Linked DNA regions of Caenorhabditis elegans. The protein of the gene in region 1 purifies or fractionates together with the protein of each later gene. This does not show direct contact. Each region holds a gene or a part of one and is shown on either strand. Other genes may lie near its edges. The genes, in order: C39B10.4 and ufd-1.

The links.
Region 2: the proteins of C39B10.4 (region 1) and ufd-1 fractionate together in Caenorhabditis elegans (co-fractionation; one large-scale study listed by BioGRID). This does not show direct contact.

The regions. Positions count from the first base shown.
Region 1 is NC_003284.9:10,443,027-10,446,053, reverse strand, and holds C39B10.4 (uncharacterized protein), read right to left. Parts: upstream 1,050-3,027; coding exon 848-1,049; intron 782-847; coding exon 615-781; downstream 1-614. Other genes in the region: C39B10.3 (RAB6-interacting golgin), read right to left, coding at 1,380-1,624, 1,669-1,885.
Region 2 is NC_003282.8:12,328,890-12,332,976, forward strand, and holds ufd-1 (Ubiquitin fusion degradation protein 1 homolog), read right to left. Parts: upstream 2,002-4,087; 5' UTR 1,986-2,001; coding exon 1,908-1,985; intron 1,887-1,907; exon of another isoform or gene 1,881-1,886; coding exon of another isoform or gene 1,821-1,880; intron 1,760-1,820; coding exon 1,622-1,759; intron 1,573-1,621; coding exon 1,361-1,572; intron 1,291-1,360; coding exon 830-1,290; intron 763-829; coding exon 623-762; 3' UTR 519-622; downstream 1-518. Other genes in the region: F19B6.1 (Uridine kinase), read right to left, coding at 2,692-2,826, 2,869-3,217, 3,768-4,087. UniProt on the Caenorhabditis elegans protein: Functions at a post-ubiquitination step in the ubiquitin fusion degradation (UFD) pathway. In association with npl-4.1 and/or npl-4.2 and ATPase cdc-48.1 and/or cdc-48.2, involved in the cytoplasmic elimination of misfolded proteins exported from the ER.

The DNA.
Region 1 (3,027 bases):
AAAATGTAATTTCCTGTAGAATCCGGAAATGGATGTAAATGTCGTTTCTATGGCAACTTAGTTGCCGGTTGCCGCATAGCCCTCGCGTATGTGTCTTTCGTTCATAATCGAGTGAGCTAAAAATGAGCATATAGATAAACACTTGGCGTCCTGGACTATAAATATAAAATACATTGGGCACCCGCACAAAGTTGATTACAGTGAGTCGCACCAAAAATTCCGAAGTTTTTAGAATGCATTCCGCATACTTTTTACATACTTCAAGATCTACTGCTAAATTAATAAGAATTGTGTGAAAAAAATGTATCTCGTTTGAACATGGCTCTCTGCAGTCTTTGTTCGGTTCATATACCTCGATCACGAAAGCTGAAACAGATAAAACTTCAACTTCAAAAGTATTTGTTCAACTCGTGAAATTTTTCACAATTTATTAATTTCGTCTCATAAAAAAATGGCGATGAAATATAATACAAAAAACCAAGAACACGTTTGATTGCATATATTGAAGAACAAGTTGTTAGTGAACGCGAATCTTAAATGGGAGGATAACATTTGAACATGTTGTACCTATGGAAGACGGTTTATTTCTGCAACAAAATTTAGTATTGTTTGTATTAATCGTGAAAGAAAACCTTCAATTTTTTGTGTGAACTTTCACCAAGTTCACTCGAACTTTTTCCACCAGAACTTTGCATTCCATCGGTAGAACGTTGGTTTCGAGCCTCAATAGAGTTTTTCATGGTACTGATTGTGTTTTGCTCTTTACCAATCTGATCTTTCCCTAAAAAGGAGAAAGTTAATTCAACACTTTTTTAAGGCTACTTACAAAATTCTAGAAGCATCTTACTTTGTGAAAGACATCCACTTTTAAGGTGAATAGTATCAGAGTACAAGCTCAACCTTCGTTTCTGGAATTCTAGCGTACTTGCTAAGTTGTATTTTGTGATCGTCTGATTTTGGATAAACTCAGTTTGTTCTTGTATCAAAACGGCGTTTCTGTCTACAAGTTCCTTCAGAGAAGCTTCGTCCAGCACCTGATCAGAAGACATTCCTTAAAATAAAAATTTCATGGTTCGGGTAGGTTTACAAAAATTTTTGAGAAGGGCTATAAACGCCAAAACGTCTTCAAGCAATATATTAAATAAAAATATTCTCTCAACAAAATCATTCATTGAAACATGTTGATCATAATTAATTTAAAGTCTCAAAATAGATGACAAAAGATAAACAATGCCGCCAGAAGATGTGATCTGTAAATGAGAGGCATTATATAGTTTTTGTGACAGTCACATTTCAAAATCTTAAATATTTTGAAAACTACTCAATCAAAACATTTACTTGACTAGCTTTTAGACTTGCTTCACATATTCAAAAACTAACTATGATGTTTCAACAGAATTTGTTTGCTTTGTTCCAATTGTTTCCTTTCCGGTACGATTATTTTTGTGTCCTCTGGTAACAGTCTTCTTATTTACCGTTTGAGGTGTGGTTTGAGAAATATTTTTGACCTCAGTAGCTGAGCTGCAAGTTGCAAGACTCCCATGCTCAGTCATGAATGCACCGGGGTTCATAATTTCCTTCAAGTTAGCGGCCACTTTTTCCAACTCCTCGTATTCTTTTGTCGCTGAAATTTGAATTTCAGTATTCTCCGCTCGAAGTAAAACTAACCTTTTTTATTCTCATCACGCTTTTCTTCAAGTTCCTCATCGTATTTCTTGGACGCATCTACTAAAAACGTGAGCATCTCTTCCTGTCTGGCGACGCGTTCTTCCATGGACTGTATTACATCTGTATTGCGTCTGATTTCGGCTCTGTGATGCTGAAGGTCAAGATCTTGGAGCCGTTTCGTCTCCAATAGCTGTTGGTATTCTTCGTTCTCATTCATGTCAGTTTTGTTGCTTCCAAGCGATTCTGCAAATAAATTGGCGTAAAAAATGAGAAAAATAACGAAAAAAAGTAGTCCTTATTAGTTTCTAACTATGAAGTTTAATTGTTTATTGGTTCAACTTCATGTTATGTTATTATGTTGTTTCAGCCCTCTGAACAAAATGTATTTTGTGGAAATGAAAATATTAAAATTGTGTTTTAGAAAGAACAAGAACAGTACCAACAAAGTAAAAATTGTGTTGTTGGTGTAAATAAAACAGGAAACTATAATTTGACAAGCGAGCTTAAGCAGGAAGCTAGTGATAAACATAATGACAAAAAGAATAGTCTAAAAGACACTCAAACGAGTTATTCGCCGAGTATTGTATGAATTGCACATTCTTGATTAGTCATCATCATTGTGATTATACGGCAGTTGCTAAGACGTTGGATAGGAGTTATGAGTATATTTCACAACAGACGAGCAACACTTGGAGGGATGACAACAAACTTTCTGGTAGAATGGGCCAATAGCGCGTGAGTAAGTAATTGTGAGATGAGCTGTGTAGCATTATCTTTTAATACTATTAATTTTATCGGGATACATGGAAATTCTCTATATCCCTAGTATATTTGATTTATTCTTATGTTCAAAGAATAAAAATTAAACTAAATTTTGCAACTAGATTAATAAACCCACAAAAAAATTGGCATGAAAACTTTTCAACTAAGGTAGTTTTTCCTGAAAATGCATATTTGAAAAAATGAATCATGTGATAAATTTTTACAAAACATCACGTCCTTCGTAGTTGCAACGGCGCTCTAATGTCAATTTCTGCATAATTTGAATTTCGAAACCAAATTTTAAGATGTTCATGATTTGTTAGATAGCATAAAGGTAAATGTAGACCGTTAAAAATAATTAAAATCAAGGTTTCTGTTACTGATGAAATTTTGATCTGGCCTACAAATCCTAGGACAAAAAATAAACTCTCGTTTGTACTCTAGTCCCGAAAAACAAAACTCCACTTAAAATACTGAAATAGAAATTTGGAAAGTAGAGATGCAGAAAAATACCTATTATCGCGTTTGTAATATTAGAAAGGTAGATGGAGAGACTGAGCCTAAGAAAAATAAACAAAACCGCACAAGTATACATGA
Region 2 (4,087 bases), on another chromosome or scaffold:
TCTTTCGCCGTATCAATAAATTAGTATTTATTTTAATGATTTTTTGGTGTTGTAGATGTAATTTTTGTATTGAGACTTGACTTTTTCCTGCAGAATCTTGACTATTTTCGAGTGATCTTTTGTGAAGCTATCGACTATTTGGACCTTTTTCTGCAAAAAATAGAGTTGGCTTTCAAAACAGCATTTTCTCCAGGTTTTTTCATTCATAGAAGTTTGGATAAGAAACCACTCCACCCATCACTGACATCGCTGAAGGTTCATCAGCTTCATGGCCGAGCTCCTTGAATATTGAATTTTTCGATTCAACAAAAAAATTTCAATTGAAAAAGTCCATTTGTGTGTTTTCGGAAGCACAGACGCTAGCCAGAATTTATGATCTAAACAAGTTCTGCAATTTTTTAAACCTTACAAGGCATTTTTGTAACAAGTGAATAGTTCTATAATATTAGTTATTTCATTTTTTTCTCCGGAGATCTCCTTCAATTTCATCTCTGAATCACACTTATCAAAGAATAATATATTCAAATAAATTTATCCTGTACAAAAAAGTGGCGATGAACTTTTACAAGGTTATGTGAAGTGAAAGATGTTATTCATAGCACAATTGGCCAGATTCGAGACATTAACGGGCTCCTCTCAGTGTTCGATTGCCTCCACGGAAGACATTTGACGGTTGTCCTGCCTTGCTGGCTTCTTTCTCTCGGAGCTCTTTTTCGAGAACATCAACACGTTTATAATCATAACGAAGGAATGAAACACGACCTGAAAATCATAAAATTTAACTTTTCAATTATTTTGAAATGTTTATTTCAGATGAAACAAGTATTACCTGGTTTGTAGTCTTCATTGACAACCACTGGTGGAATAGCTGGCAAATCATTCGCCACTGGAGCTGCATTACTCGTACTAACACCGGTTCCATCTGAGAGTGATACTGAAGATGATGGCTTCTTCTTTCCATCGAGACGACGCCCAGCTCCTCCGAATACAGAAGTTGCATTTTGTCCTGTCCCTCCACTACCACCAGCTTTTTGTCCAGCTCCAATAAATGCGGATGCATCTGGCGCAGGCGGCTTGGCAGTGACAGCAGGAGTCACCTGTCTCGGTTGTTCAACGTAGCCTTCTGGAGGATCGAAATCGAGATTAACATCACATTCAATGATGCACACAGAGTTGGCCGGTTTCAAATCAACGACGAGGAATTCGAGAGTTTGTCCAGCATATGATGTTGGGATCCGATCGTTTTTGGTGAGGCATGCATATTTTCGAAGTTCCACTTCAAGAACAGCTCTGAAAAATAGAAAAATATAGGACTTTGTTCAAAAACTTCAAAAAATTATTAGAGTTTATGAAAACTCACTTTGGATTAGTAATATTCAGAAACTCGAGTGACATCGGCTTCAATTTAGCAAACGTGGCTTTCGGAAGAGTTGCAGACTCAATGCGAATGGTATCTCCATCGTCAAGTCCCAATTGCTGCATCATCCAAAGTGGCAGAATGGCTTGTCCTTCTGGAGCAGAAAATTCAAGAACACCGCAATGAGTTACACGTTGAACAGCCATATTGGTTAGCTGTAAATTTTAATGGTTTTCTAGTTACTTCAAGCTATACAAAACAAACCTTGAAAAGCATTGGCATCGGAATATTATATTGCATGAGCAAGTTGAGAGCAGATGACGGCAGAAGAATCTTTCCACCATAATTGATTTCGCTTATTTTTGACTGTGTTGCATTGGGAAGGAATACGGGCCCATATACCTGAAATTTAATTGTTTATTAACGCTGAAATATAATCTTTGAAATCCAATTTATTATTTACAATGAGATCGAAATGACGAGTAGTTCGGCGAAGTTGTTGTTGAAAAAAGTTTGCAAACATCTTTCGAAATGAATTTTAAAAGCTCACCACAAAAGTTTGATCATAATTCCCGACTCGGCCGCCCATCTGCATCCCGTGAAGTCCTTGTTGTATCCACGCTTGCATTTTTATTTTTGGTTTTCTGAAAAGTTATTAACGTTTTCTTCAACTATAATTCAAAAAATACAAAGAGGATGAGCCAACCAAGAAAAGAGAGCTCATTGATCATTTAAATATTTAACAAACTGCAATTTATTATAGAAAGAAATTACTAAAATGCACGTGTGAAGGAAACTTGACAAAAATTGAAGAAAAACACAATGAACAACATGAAAAAGAGAATGCGTGAATGGATGATGATATTAAAACCGATTCCTGCAACGACAAACGCGCTCCGTTGAACAAAAAAGAAATGGAACAACGAGAAAACCGAATGTCGTGTACAGATTTTTGTGTGGAAACGCGCAAAGATGTAGAGGGAAGAATTTAACCGTCACAAACAACGCGAAAAAACACTAGAAAGAACAGGGTATAAATGAATTATCGAGCTGAATGCCAGAAATCATGAAGAGAAGTCAATAAAATGAAGAACGGAAAAAAAGGACGACAAAAAATGAAATAGCATATAAAATTTCAACAACAAATGGAAACAAAATGTATAGAAGGATGGATATGATGATGGGAAAGAAAGAACATTATGAATAATTATAATTATAATAATAAAGTTAGTGAAAAGGAACAAGAAAGTAGGAATTCATCAGATGAAATGGAAGGAAAACAGAAACTTTGATAAATTATGAAGAAAATTGATCATTTTTGTGATAACAGATGATCACATATCGAATGGCTCGTCCATGTCTTGTTCGAGCCCGGTTCCGTAATATCGATCACCAAAATTGCCCATTCCGGGAATCAGATAGCAATTTTCCGTCATTTGGTGGTCCATTGCGGTGGTGATTAATTTAACCTGAAAATTAATAATTTTTAATTCAAATAAAAAATTGTAAACCTTCGGGAAGGCATAAGCCAGTGCATGTGCACCTTGTTGACCCATAAGCAGAGATGCAACAAATATGTCTTCCTCTTTAACATCATGATCAAGAAGTACACGAATTGCCATCATCGCAGCACTCCCAGTAGTTACGGTGGCGTCCATAATGATAACTTTGTATCGAGTTATGTGTGGTGGCAAACGTATATAATGAAGTTCTGGATCAAACGTCGTCTCGTTGGTTTGAATCAAAATTTTTCCGATCACGCAGTCCTTGACGATTGAGCGAAGAGCAGTCTCCATACATTCGCCGGCTCGCATGATTGGAAGACCACAAATCTGAGCGTCCTTTCGTTTGCCAATAGTTCTGAAATAAAAATTAAAGTTTCTAGATGGTTGAGCCTATTTTAGACGTTTTCAATTGTTTAGTTTTCAAGTTTTATTTAGAAAAAGTTTATTCTTATATTGGAAACAATAGAACATTAATATCCGAATATCCGAAACCAAGATCTGAAACTTTGCAATTCTTAAGCCGAAAATACGGTAGCCGGTCTCGATTCGACAGATTTTTTGCTGAAAGAGCGCCTTTAAAGATTACTGTAATTTTAAATTACTGCAGAATTTTTATTGATTCTTTGTAGTTTTTCTATAAAAATTATTTCTGTATTAAAAAACTTGATTGAAACCATAAACAAAACTTAAAATAAAACAAAAAATCCGCAGTGATAAGAAATTGAAACTACAGTACTATTTCAAGGCGCACACTTTTGTTTAACAAACATTTGTCGTGTCGAGACCGGGTACCGTATTTTTGCAGTCAGATTCAGAAATTTCAGAAAGGTTGGCGCTGATTTCAGATTTCAAAAAGGAATTTTCAAATCTTGCAGTGACCATTTTTCAGTTTCAAATTTACTCACTTTCTACCGCCGGCCATCTCAATCTCAACATCTTTGTAAGGCATATGATTCATGCATTCTTCAATAAGAATACGCATTAATCGATCAGAATAGAAAATATGATTGTCTCTACTCGTTTCTCGATCACGAACAAACGTGACAAGACCTTTGACCTGTGGAGTTTCTTTTAAAATGAACAGGTTTTCCGGCAAACAATCCGGTAGATCGTCGCGAACCAAATCGTGACGATCACGGTTGTTCTGATTGCGATCGTATCCGCGTTCAACGAGCTGTGCCATCACGTTCTGCACGATCATGTCGATGGCGACGTCGTTCTCTCC